Anolis sagrei: one gene and its partner. The protein of the gene in region 1 purifies or fractionates together with the protein of each later gene. This does not show direct contact. Links are inferred from orthologs where the notes say so. Each region holds a gene or a part of one and is shown on either strand. Other genes may lie near its edges.

What was found. The genes of interacting proteins can lie anywhere in the genome.
Region 2: the proteins of ISCA2 (region 1) and IBA57 purify together in Homo sapiens (co-immunoprecipitation; 4 studies listed by BioGRID and IntAct, with this or other methods). This does not show direct contact. The link is inferred for Anolis sagrei from reciprocal best matches to the Homo sapiens genes ISCA2 and IBA57.

Annotation. Positions count from the first base shown.
Region 1 is NC_090021.1:304,421,191-304,428,115, reverse strand, and holds the start of ISCA2 (iron-sulfur cluster assembly 2 homolog, mitochondrial), read left to right. Parts: upstream 1-3,921; 5' UTR 3,922-3,964; coding exon 3,965-4,023; intron 4,024-6,925. UniProt on the Homo sapiens protein: Involved in the maturation of mitochondrial 4Fe-4S proteins functioning late in the iron-sulfur cluster assembly pathway. May be involved in the binding of an intermediate of Fe/S cluster assembly.
Region 2 is NC_090026.1:127,758,814-127,765,996, reverse strand, and holds the start of IBA57 (putative transferase CAF17, mitochondrial), read left to right. Parts: upstream 1-4,173; 5' UTR 4,174-4,315; coding exon 4,316-4,635; intron 4,636-7,061; coding exon 7,062-7,183. UniProt on the Homo sapiens protein: Mitochondrial protein involved in the maturation of mitochondrial [4Fe-4S]-proteins in the late stage of the iron-sulfur cluster assembly pathway. Operates in cooperation with ISCA2 in the maturation of [4Fe-4S] proteins.

The DNA of each region.
Region 1 (6,925 bases):
GTGAGGCTGAATCATCATGGGTCATTAACTAGACTTTACACTGGAGTGGGCTACTACAGAAGGAGAAAGGGCGAATTTGCTTCTTAGCACAAACCACTGGTTGGTCTCACTTCTGTTTTCAACCAGAGATCAGCCCCAAAATATACCTGGAGCTGAACAAATGTTACTTTTGCTTTCTATTTCCTAGTTTGGGGATTGTCTTCAGTTGAAATTAGCTTTAAGAGCTTGAGGAAGTTTAAAAGCATGCTACCCCCCCACCGCCCTCCGTAAAGCAATAGTTGATTTTTGGACCATATTCCATAAAACTTTACAACTTTATTAGTTTTTAAGGTTTAAGATGCCACAAGGGCCTAAATATCCTAAAAGCGCTCAATTCTATCTGATTTTGGAAGCAACACTGAGTCAGACTTAGTACTTGGATGGGAGATTGACCAGAAATATCAGATGCTGCAAGCTATGTTTCAGAGTAATGCAATAGCAAACCACCTCTGAGAATTTCTGGTTAAGAAAATGGTATGAAATTCAAGGTTTCCATAAGCTGTTAGTTAACCTAAACACATACAAGGCCCTAAATGTGTGTGTGTTGTTTCTATTGCAGCAAACTGCCTTTACCACTCCGCTGGGCATGTCTCACCTCAGTTAACTCAGCCTTAACCCAGTTAGGCAACATTTTCCATAGCCCCACTGAAGTGTGCAAAAAATGCCATAAGGATTCATTTGAAGGCTGCAGTCTGTTTGCTTCTGAAGACCTTTAGTCCAGTTCACAAGATTAGAACTCTGTTTTGTTTATGCAGGGCAAGTTGTCGTCGTTTTTTAAAACCACAAAGATGATAACCGTATCACTTGAGGGTCACTTTGGAGATGTCTCTTCATCCTTGTCAGATCAGCAAGAAGGAACATATTTACGTTTTGGCCAATTTTGCTTGTTCAGCAGATCCCTTTCACCTACATCAAGAGCATGCATTTAACTCAAGGCATATTATGACGAGGGAAGTGAAAAAGCCAAGGCTAAAGTTGCTGGGAGTTGGACAATACATTGATTAAGGCCAACCTATATGTCACAGAAATGTGCACACATTTGGTTTCCCCAGAAATAAGGTAAATTTAAATTTAACGTATGTATTTTAGGTGCTGAACTTTGGGCTTGGCGACTTTGAGACTAAATGTTAAATATTATCCAGTGGTTTGTGGGAATGGTACTCCGAGAGCAGTTCCTTTTCAATCTTATTCATTTGGTGTAGATTAAGATTCAGGTACTTTCAAAACAATATTCAGACAGTTCCCGAGTTATAAACAGCTGACTTACAAACAACTCATAGTTAAGAACAGGGGTAAGACAACAGGAAGTGAGAGAAATGTACCCCTAGGTTTGGAAATTTACTCGTGAAAGGGTTATCATGGAGGAAAGATGTATCCACTGAAGCTTTATTACCAATCATTGGTTGAACAGCAAGCCACATTTTTCAAAATCCAATTATTACAGTGTTGGAAATAGCAACCTTCTTCAAGCCTCCACTAGTAATTTGTTTGTATATTATTCTGTTTGCTTACTGTATACTGTATTATGTTTTGATATGCAGCTTTCCCTTTGCTCTATGTTTCTTGAGGTAATGGGAGGGACTGCAGACCTCATGAACAGATAATATATATATATGCCTGCCTTCAGATTACCTATTATTTTAGGGTGACCATATGAATTCCATAGGGGTTTCTCAGAAAAGGAATAGAGAGGTTTTGGGGGAGCAATTTGTGTGGTTTCCTGCCACAGTGCTTTCTGTTCTAAACCATGTCAAGAAGTAAATACTAATATGAATGCTACAATAGTGCTATTTGAGGGAGAATGGGCACATTTTACTTGGTTGGTGTTATGTGAGCCAGCAAAGTAATCAATTACATACAAACATCTATCAGAAGTAAAAATGTAAAAATCATTGGTCACTAGAGAAAACATTTTGGTAATAAAGGCAGAATTGATCAATACTTGGGTCAATGGCATTTGATTTTCTGTAGGGCTATAGCTAAAAACAATCCATAGGTGAGGCTGAATCATCATGGGCTGAATGAGGGCTGAATCATCAGTGTAAACTAGAGTTTACACTGGAGTGAGCTACTACAGAAGGAGAAAGGGCAAATTTGCTTCTTAGCACAAATCTCCGGTGGATCTCACTTCTGTTTTCAACCAGAGATCAGCCCCAAAATTATCTGGAACAGAACAAATGTCACTTTTGCTTTCTATTTACTGTTTGGGGATTGTCTTCATTTCTGGTGAAATTAGCTTTAAAAGCTTGAGGAGGTGTAAAAGTAACTTGGGGGCTGCTTGTATATATATTATTTATTTACGTGTGTGTCTGCCCTCAGTTTATCTATTATCTTAGGGTGACCCCATGAATTCCATAAGGGTTTCTCAAAAAAGGAATAGGGAGAGGCTTTGGGGGAGCAATTTGTGTGGTGTCCTTCAACTGAGGTATTATCATGCAATTCAGTGGTAGATTACACCATCAGTTACTTTGTGAGATAGGGACTGCGGACTACAAGATAGGCTATGAATAGCACAGAACATTAACCTGTGTTCTTGTAGACCTTAATTCACTTTTACCTCCATTGCTTAATTTATAATAACATTATATACATACATTATCATTAAGCCTGTAAACATACGTGTTAGCAAGCCCTATTAGTTACACTTTGGGAGGAGGGTTACATATGAATAAGAATAAATTCACCCCAGTGGCGCAATGGGTTAAACCCTTGTGCTAGCAGGACTGAAGAGTAGCAGGTTGGAGGTTTGAATCTGGGGAGAAAGGGTTGAGCTTCCTCTGTCAGCTCCGGCTCCTCATGCGGAGATATGAGAGAAGTCTCTCACAAGGAGACGGCCAGTTTTCTCACACCAGAAGCAACTTGCAGTTTCTCAAGTCGCTCCTGACACGAAAAAAAAAACCCTGAAAATATGATCAGAGTTTATTTATATTATTAATTTATTTACTATATTTATACCCTTCCCTCTCTAACCCAGAGGTGACTCATAGCAGCTTACAAGTTATATGTACATACAATATATTATATTATTAGCATGCTACAAAATTAGCATTATATATTACTATATTGTACTATACCACTACACTGTAATATTATTAGTAATATTACATCTAATATATAATTAATATTATTATATTGTATTATTATTAGTATTATATTGTATTGTATTATATTATTATCAATATTATATGTTGTTGTTCATTCGTTCAGTCGTTTCTGACTCTTCATGACCTCAGCCCACGCCAGAGCTCCCAGTCGGCCGTCACCAACCCCAGCTCCTTCAAGGTCATATGTATATATTATTATATTATATTATATGTATATACAATATATTATGAGCATAGTACAATATTCGTATTGTTGTTGTTCATTCATTCAGTCGTCTCCGACTCTTCGTGACCTCATGGACCAGCCCACGCCAGAGCTCCCTGTCGGCCGTCACCACCCCCAGCTCCTTCAAGGTAATATGTATATACAATATATTATATTAGAATAGTACAATATTAGTATTATATAGTACTATATTGTTGTTGGAGGGAGGGGCCCCCAACTGATGCTATGTTTTCAATGTTTTCATTTAGAATAGCTTTTCAGTTATTTTTCTCCAATTATAATAGAAGGAAACTCCTTTCACCCCTAAACAGATTCACACAAGAAACTCAAGAGGCAGTAGTAAAAGTTCCCGCCTTTGAGGTCTCTGCGCCAGCCAATCAAAATGCTTCAGAATGTACAAACATGAGACTTGGCTTCCCAGACCCTTCCGCCCGGATTTCCTCGCCTTCACTCCAAACCACGTGACCTTCCCGTCACTCTCCGCTAACTTCCAATGGCGCAACCGTCTCCTCTGCCGCAAACCAATTGACGTAGGGCGTAGGCGGGACATATGGTTCGTCTGCACCAATAGAGACAGAGTCAAGAGGAGAACAACATGGCGGCACTGGGAGCACTTACTTGTTTCAGGGCGCTGAAGATTTGCGGGCGGAGCAGGTAGTGGCGGTTCTTTCCCCTTTTCCCGCCAGTCGTCTAAAGCTGCCCTCAGACTGAGCGAGATGGTTTTTAGTGGAAGGGAGGGAGTCAACTTTGTTTAACATTGCATGTACGGCTTTCAATCTTTATTTAGTCCTCAAGGTGTTTTGGACTTCATCTCCCAGAATTCCTGGCAGTTGGCCAAACTGGCTGAGGCTTCTGGGATTTGAAGTCCCAAACAAGCCTGGAGGCCCAGAGGTTGGGAATTGGAAGAAGGCAGACTTAAGAAAATAGCAACGGCGGTTCATGGAGCCGAAATCGTCTTAGGCTGTCAGACAAGTTGTTGTTGACAGAGTGAAAACTAGCGAGGGCTTCTAGAATAAGAAAGGATTGATTCTTACCTGGTGATACACACCTGCCAAAATTCCTGCTTCTGCAGGATTTTAAATGCACAGGAGGCCTCTCTAGTTTTCACTCTGGCAACCCTCATAATCTGTAATAGCTACAAATTTTGTTGACATTTCTCCTTCAGTCTTACAGTGCATCTGTACTGTAGAATGATTGCAGTTTGACACCACTTTAATTGCTATGACTCATTGCTATTGAATTATGAGAGCTGTGGTTTTACAAGCCTTCTCTGCTAAAGAGTGCTGGTGCCTTACCAGAACACATCTCCCATGATTCCATAGTAATAATACCAATAATAATGCAAAAGGCTTGTGATCCCAAAGAGTGAATACCGTAAAAACACAATCCAGAACAGAAGAGAAAACTGGTGAAAGAAGGCTCTCCATGGACAGTTCCTGGGAAAATTGAGAGCCAAATTGACAAAGAAAAAATGGCTGTGGCTCACAAATGGAACTTTGAAAAAGGAGATGGAGGGCCTGATTCTGGCAGCACAAGAACAAGCCATTCGAATCAATGCCACCAAAGCCAGAATTGAAAAGTCAATGACAGACCCCAAATGTAGACTCTACAAGGAAGCATATGAAACACTAGATCACATCCTCAGCTGCTGCAAGAAGATTGCGCAGACAGACTACATAACACAGTTGCTCAGATGATTCATTGGAACTTGTGCCACAAATACCATCTGCCTGCGACAACTAACTAGTGGGATAACAAGCTGGAAAAAGTTACAGAAAATGAACACGTCAAACTACTCTGGGACTTCCAAATTCAGACAAACAAAGTTTGGAGCACAATATTCCTGACCTCACGATCCTATTAAAAACAAAGTATGGATTGTCGATGTTGCAATCCCAGGTGACAGTAGTATTGAAGAGAAACAACTAGAAAGGCTGACATGACATGAGGATTTAAAGATCGAACTGCAAAGACTCTGGCACAAGCCAGTCAAGGTGGTCCCAGTGGTGATAGGCACACTGGGTGCAGTGCCTAAAGACCTAGGCCTGCACTTAAACACAATCAGCGCTGACAAAATTGCCAGCTGCCAGCTGCAGAAGGCCACCTTACTGGGATTGGCACGCATTATCCGCCGATACATCATACAGTCCTAGACACTTGGGAAGTGTCTGACGTATGATCCAATACAACAGCCAGCAGTGCTGTGGACTCATCTTGTTGTGTTTCAAATAATAATAATAATAATTAGTTACTCACCTTCTCATGGCTTGAGGCAGGGTACAACACAGTCAAAGCTTTGGAAGAATATAAATTAAATGGATTCCTGATTATGCACCAAATATATATCCACAAATACAACAGTATGTATAGATAAATAATCAGTAAACAGGTATGGAATATAAAATTGAATAAACATATACAAATTTACAAGTATAATGTTGATGCTCCGTACATCAGAAAGAATATAAAACTAAACAAATTTGCTGCTTGTGAAGTCAGCCAGTTGAACTGAAAAGTCTGTAGAGCACACGACCAGTTTTGACTTTTTTAGTCTTCCTCAGGCGCAATAAGAACAGAGTGTTAACAGAGTATCTCAGAAAGATATAAATTCACACTTACCCACCATTGATATAAATTGAAAAAAGACATAATACTACTTGAGAGATGAATGTAAAGTGTTTATCATGGAAATATAAAATTACATAGTTGCCTGAGGAAGATTAAAAAAGTCAAAACCGGTCGTGTGATCTACAGACTCTTCAATTCAACTGACTGACTTTACAAGCGGCAAACTTATGTTTAATTTGATATTCATTCTGATGTATGGAGCATCAACGTTATACTTGTAAATTTGTACTTGTTTATTCAATATAAGTTTATATTTCATACCTGTTTATTGATTATTGACCTATACATACTGTTGTATTTGTGAGTATATATTAGTTTGGTGTACAACACAGTCGAAACACATCAACATCATACACCCACACACACACATTAGTTTTGAGCCATGACAATTTAGGTGGTGTCAAACTGCGAAGATGCACCCTTTAGAGCAGGTATGGGCAAACTTTGGCTCTCCAGGTGTTTTGGACTTCAACTCCCACAATTCCTATCAGCCTCATGCTCCTTTCTTTTTCCCCTTAGCTATTTAAGGGTTCACACAAATATTACAACTACCGTAGTTCAGCCTTCTCGTGAAAATAAAGGTTTCAGATAATTTATCCTGTGCAAACAAACTTGAGAGTAAGTTATGCTGAGAACATGGAACTTCTCAGTACACATATTTAAGGATTTGAATGCAATTTGGTAGTAATTTGCCCTCATTCTAACTGTTATTATATTTCCTCTTCATATAGTAATTGTTTTGCTATTTGTTCAATTTGTAATACAGTGGCCCCTTAGTATCCATAGAGACTTAATTCCAGGAGTCCCCATCTGCTCAAGCCTAATATTTTTTTTTATTGCCCGCCTCTCCTAATGGCTTGAGGCAGGGTACAACAAATTCAAAAACATGAACATAAAAATATATATATAATAAATTACATAGATACAA
Region 2 (7,183 bases), on another chromosome or scaffold:
ATCTCACTTGCCTAGTTTCCAACAGACCTCACAACCTCTGAGGATGCCTGCCATAGATGTGGGCATAACGTCAGAAGAGAATGCTTCTGGAACATGGCCACGCAGCCTGGAAAACCTACAGCAACCCAGAACAAAATGAATCTCTCACTCACATTCCATTCCACTGGAAAATACTTGAAAGTAACAAAATGTCCATATAATAAATCTATGTTGTTATGAAGTTTCCACTGTGTGTTTTTTTTTGGGGGGGGGGGGGGTGGGGAGATGTCTTGTTTTTGTTTTTTTGTACTAACTTGTATGAGAAACCTGTTGAGTGTGAAATTGACTCTTGTCTCTGTAAATATTTTTCGGGGAGTAAATGTTATGGCCTGATTGTACTTAGGATGACAGAACTAATAAAAATAAATAAAATGCTTGTGTTTTCTTGGTCTCTTGCAAGATTGATCGTGTCTGTAAACTCTGTAAAAATGTAGCATTTATTTATTTTATTTTTATTTACAGCATTTATATTCCGCCCTTCTCACCCCGCAGGGAACTCAGGGTGGATTACAGTGTACACATATATGGCAAACATTCAATGCCAATTTTGACATACAACATATACAGACATACACAGAGGCTATTTAACTTTTTCTGGCCGCCAGGGGAGCTGTCGCTTTCATCGTCCATCTGCGACGCTGATGAAGTACTTCCGCATTCCCCGCATGCTTCCCCGCTGGAATGCTTTATGGCTTCATAAATCAGTTAATGTAGCCTCCCCACACTTTAAGGTGGTACCTAATTTTCCTACTTGACAGATGCAACTGTCTTTCAGGTTGCAAAGGTCGACAACAGGCTACACAATTGGTTGGAAACCCACTCCAACCCGGGCTGGCTTCGAACTCATGACCTGAACTCATGACACTTCGAACTCATGACACTGATGAAGTACTTCCGCATTCCCCGCATGCTTTTTGCTGGAATCTTTTTTATGGCCTCATAAATTAGTTAATTTAGTCTCCCCACACTTTAAGGTGGTACCTAATTTTCCTACTTGACAGATGCAATTGTCTGTCGGGTTGCAAAGGTCGACAACAGGCTACACAATTGGTTGGAAACCCATTCCAACCCGGGCTGGCTTCAAACTCATGACCTTTTGGTCAGAGTGATCTTAATGCAGCTGACACTCAGCCAGCTGTGCCACAATCCCTACTGATGGAGATTGTAGTCTGATGAGTACTTGAAAGACTGTGTTATGCTCTTGCAAAGAAGCATAGAGTGTATCTCAAATTCAAATTCAGATCACAGGAGCTGTCTTCATAGACTTGTCTATGATACTGTGAACCACCGCCTCCTCCTGAGAAAAATGTATAATATCACAAAGGACGACCGCCTCATAGGAAACCTGCTACAAAACAGGAGCTTTTTTGTTGAGTTCCAGGGCCAGAGAAGCAGATGGCGGAAACAGAAGAATGGCCTGCCTCAGGGGAGCGTGCTTGCTCCATCCATGTTCAACATCTACACAAATGACCAGCCACTGCCAGAAGGGACAGAGAGTTTCATCTATGCTGATGATTGTGCCATTACTGCTCAAGCAGGGAGCTTTGAGATGGTTGAACAAAAACTCACCGAAGCTCTAGGTGCCCTTACTGCCTATTTCAGGGAAAACCAGCTGATCCCTAATCCATCTAAAACACAGACATGTGCCTTTCACCTTAAGAACAGACAAGCATCCTGAGCTCTGAGGATTACTTGGGAAGGAATCCCACTGGAGCATTGCAGCGCACCCAAATACCTGGGAGTCACTCTGGACCGTTCTCTGACCTACAAGAAGCACTGCCTGAACATCAAGCAAAAAGTGAGCGCTAGAAACAATATCATACGAAAGCTTACTGGCAGAACCTGGGGATCACAACCAGACACAGTGAAGACATCTGCCCTTGCGCTATGCTACTCTGCTGCTGAGTATGCATGCCCAGTGTGGAACACATCTCACCAGACTAAAACAGTGGATGTGGCTCTTAATGAGACATGCCGCATTATCACGGGGTGCCTGCGCCCTACACCACTGGAGAAATTACACTGCTTAGCCGGTATTGCACCACCTGACATCCGCCGGGAAGTAGCAGCCAATAGTGAAAGGACCAAGGCAGGGACATCCCCAGCTCATTCCCTGTTTGGGTATCAGCCAGCACGTCAATGACTTAAATCTAGAAATAGTTTTCTAAGATCTACAGAGACACTTGCTGGAACATCCCAGCAAGCAAGATTCCAATAGTGGCAGGCTCAAACCCAGAACCTCAATCCGAGGGTTATACCAAATGAGAGACTCCCCCCTGGGCACACAGAAGACTGGGAGACTTGGAAGGCGCTGAACAGACTGCGCTCTGGCACCACGAGATGCAGAGCCAACCTCAAGAAATGGGGCCACAAAGTGGAATCCACGACATGCGAGTGTGGAGAGGAGCAAACCACTGACCACCTGCTGCAATGCACCCTGAGCCCTGCCACATGCACAATGGAGGACCTTCTTGCGGCAACACCAGAAGCACTCCAAGTGGCCAAATACTGCTCAAAGGACACTTAATCAACTACCAAACTCACAAATTTTGTATTTGGTCTGTTTGTTTGCTTTGTTCTGTTAGAAATGTAACATAATTGACTGGTTGCCCTGACACGACAAATAAATAACCGGATTTGAACCTCCGACCTTTCGGTCTTCAGTCCAGCCGGGACAAGGGTTTGACCCATGGCGCCATTGGGGGCTCCTGATTAATGAAATAATTATGATATTGGGGAAACCAGACTAATCTTATCCTTATCTATCTAACTCTACCTTAGGTTCCCACATGGGGGAGAGATAGGGGATTGTGGGATCATCCCAGCCTGTTGTCCTTGGCAAAACTATGAATTCCCTGATTTTGAACCATCTTTTACTGAGACCTGGGGGAGAGGGGTTACCTTTGATCTCAAAATCACAACGTGTCCAGTTCTGAGTCCCACAGTTCAATGGGGATATTGACTCTTAAACTGGAAGGCGTCCAGAGGAAGAGGGCGACTCAAAGGATCAAAGGTCTGGAGACGATGAATCTCTATGAGGAGCGCCCTAAAGAACTGGGTCTCTTTAGCCTGCAGAAGAGAATGTTGAGAGGAGACAGGATAGCCATGGATAAATATGGGAAAGGGTGTCACAAGGAACAGGCTTGTTTTCTGCTTCTCTTGAAACCAGGACTCAATAGAGCCATGGGTTCTAATTACAGGAGAGGAGATTCTACCTGAACTTCCTGACCAAGCTAAGCTGTTCACCAGTGGAACTCTCTGCCTCAGGGCCCGGTGGAAACTCCTTCTTGGAAACCCTTAAACCAGGCTTGGGCCAACTTGGGTCCTCTCTCCAGAGGAGATTCTAGCTGAACTTCCTGACTAAGAAAAGCTATTCACCAGTGGAACTCTCTGCCTCAGGGTCCAGTGGAAGCTCCTTCTTGGAAACCCTTAAACCAAGCTTGGGCCAACTTGGGTCCTCCCTCCAGAGGAGATTCTAGATGAACTTCCTGACTAAGAAAAGCTGTTCACCAGTGGAACTCTCTGCCTCAGGGCCCGGTGGAAGCTCCTTCTTGGAAACCCTTAAACCAGGCTTGGGCCAACTTGGGTCCTCCCTCCAGAGGAGATTCTAGCTGAACTTCATGACTAAGAAAAGCTGTTCACCAGTGGAACTCTCTACCTCAGGGTCCAGTGGAAACTCCTTCTTGGAAACCCTTAAACCAGGCTTGGGCCAACTTGGGTCATCTCTCCAGAGGAGATTCTAGCTGAACTTCCTGACTAAGAAAAGCTGTTCACCAGTGGAACTCTCTTCCTCAGGGTCCAGTGGAAACTCCTTCTTGGAAACCTTTAAACCAGGCTTGGGCCAACTTGGGTCCTCCCTCCAGAGGAGATTCTAAGTGAACTTCCTGACTAAGAAAAGCTGTTCACCAGTGGAACTCTCTGCCTCAGTGCCCGGTGGAAGCTCCTTCTTGGGAACCTTTATACCAAGTTGGCTTGGGCCAACTTGAGTCCTCCCTCCAGGTGTTTTGGACTTCAGCTCCCACAATTCCTTGGCCAATTCCAAGGAACTCTGGGAACTGAAGTCCCCAAAGTCCCTGAAGGCCAGAGCTTGGGAAACTTTGAGAGGGCGTGGCCACGGGAAAACAGGCAGGCACCTCGACTAATAAGAAGCCAAGAACGGGGATAGTCCCGCCTCCCTTAGCGAAGATGTTGATGCGCCTGCGCAGTCGGCGCAACTCGTCTCCTCAGCCAAGATGTGTGCGGGGTGAAAGACAACTCGCTTTCTTCGAGCGCCGCCATGTTGGTGAGGGCGAGTGCGGCGCTGCGGAGGGCTCTCTCCCTCCGCTTGGGCCTCCGGAGCGGAGAGAGGAAGCTAAGCGGGGAAAAAGGAGGCAGCCAAGCGGCCACCGTGGTGACCACCTGCTTCCCGCTGGAGAGCCGGGCACTGCTACGGCTCCGAGGCCCGGAGGCGGCGACCTTCCTCCAAGGGCTGCTGACGAATGACGTGACGCTCTTGACGCAGGAGGGGGGCGGGGCTTCTCTAACCACGCCACGAGCGCTCTACGCGCATGCGCTCAACGTCCAGGGGCGCTGCCTCTATGACGTCATCCTGTACAGGTGAGAAGGAGAGAGATGCTAAACAGAGTTGGCATGTCCACTTGGCTTGGGGTTTTTTGCACTTAGGGATCTAATGCAAGGGGAGCCAAGCTTAGAAATTAGCTTGCCCCCGAAGTGGATACATCCTGATCAATTTCTAATTTTGGAAGTTATTTTATCTCTCTCGAGATATATATATATACACATACATATCCATATACATATATATACATACTAGCCATCCCTTGCCACGCTTTGCTGTGGCCCAGTCTGTGTGTATATGTGTGTTTATATATGTGTGTGTGTGTGTGTGTGTGTGGTTTTGTGCACGCGTAATGTAATTTTTGGGGTTTTTTTGGCTTTTTAAGTCTCTTTAAGTCTCTTTACAGCATTTTTATCCTGCTCTTTTATTTATTTATTATTTATTTACTTTATTTATATACCGCTTTTCTCAGCCCTCAGGCGACTCAAAGCGGTGAACAACATCAATACAAAACATCACGAGACAAGTATAGGGCAATTAAAAACAATTGTAACATAAATAATTAAACATCAGTATAACAATCATTAGCGCCTCAACAGTAAAATCAGAATCCAGTCTCACCATCCATTATTCCATATTCCTATGTTCAATTACACTGTTTAATCAAATGCTTGTACGAACAGCCAGGTCTTCACTTTCCTCCGAAACGCCAGCAGGGAGGGGGCCTATCTGATATCTGCAGGCAGGGCGTTCCACAGCCGAGGGGCCACCACTGAGAAGGCCCTGTCTCTCGTCCCCGCCAAGCGCACCTGTGATGCAGGCGGGACAGAGAGCAGGGCCTCCCCAGATGATCTTAGTGTCCTGGCCGGTTCATAGGAGGAGATGCATTCAGAGAGGTAAGTAGGGCCAGAACCGTTTAGGGCTTTATAGGCTAACGCCAGCACTTTGAATTGTGCCCGGTAGCAAACTGGCAGCCAGTGGAGCTGGCGCAACAGAGGAGTAGTATGCTTCCTGAGTGCTGCTCCTGTTAGCAACCTGGCTGCCAAGCGTTGGACCATTTGAAGCTTCCGAGCAGTCTTCAAAGGCAACCCCACGTAGAGAGCGTTGCAGTAGTACCGTGGCCAAGTCAGACTTCCCAAGGTATGGGCACAGCTGGCGCACAAGTTTTAACTGTGCGAATGCTCCCCTGGTCACCACTGAAACCTGGGGTTCCAGGCTCAGCGACGAGTCCAAGATCACACCCAAGCTGCGAACCTGTGTCTTCAGGGGGAGTGCGACCCCATCCAACACAGGCTGTAACCCTATGCCCTGTTCGGCCCGAAGGCAACTCAGGGCAGCGTACAGATTGGCAAAATTTAGATGCTATAAACATACATACATATCAACAAAAACATGTAATCTCACATAATAAAAATCCATATAAAAGCAATTGAAGTCATAATAATTAATGTCTTCTCTATCTCTATATATATGCACCATTAAAATTATTTTTTTAAATCCCATTTTGTACTATTACTAATCATTGTTTTATTCCTCTCCCCGTGGATTGAGGCAGGAAGCAACACCAGATTGCTTCTCTTTGGTGGAGAGAAAAAGCAAGGTATAAATAAACAACAACAATTTTATTTCTCGCCTCATGGCTCGGAGCAGGTTACAAAATCATTAAAATACACAAACATAGCAAAAACGCTACAACATTAAGACATCTACACTTAATGTAGTTTGACACCACTTTAACTGCCTTGGCTCAATAATAATAATAATAATAATAATAATAATAATAATAATAAATCCTTTATTTGTACCCCACTACCATCTCCCGAAGGACTCGGTGCGGCTTACAAGAGGCCGAGCCCAAATGCAATAGTATAAACAGTAACAACAGCAACAGCAAAATAACTCAAAAAACAAAGCAATAACATTCACAACACACAATGACGCAGTTAAAATCAATGGCAGGGCCAAATTAAAGTTAAAAAGTGCTGGGCGTGACCAGGTAGAGTGTAATCCTGGGAGGTGTAATGCTGTGTAATCCTGGGAGGCGTAGTTTGGTAAGGCTCCAGCACGTTTTGGTGGGAGAGGCTAAATACCTTGCAAAACTACAAGTCCCAAGATTCCATAGCATTGAATCAAGACAGTTAATATGGTGCCAAACTTCATTGATTGTATAGTATATGTGTACACTACTACCAAGCCAGAAAAAACAAGGAAGGCAATTCTTGTTTTTGAAAATGTAATTCACTGTGTCTTCTGGGAAGCAGAACTGTAGCAGAAGGCAAAAGAGAGATGAACTGGGAAAGCCCTCAGTCCCCATATTGGGAGAAAAGTGAAATAAAAAATATAGTAAACAATAATTTAAAAAAGGCCACAATCTGGCACAACACAGGAAGGGGCCGAAGTTGGGATTGAAAGGCTTAGTTCCAAGAGAGGTATTTGTTTTTTCCTGATTTTGGATGTTTTTCAGGCTTCACGTAAACTCGCAAGAAGAGCCTCACCTCCTGCTGGAATGTGATGCTGCTGCCCTGGACCCCCTTCAAAAGCATTTGAAACTGTACAAGATCCGAAGGAAAGTTGACATCACTCCTT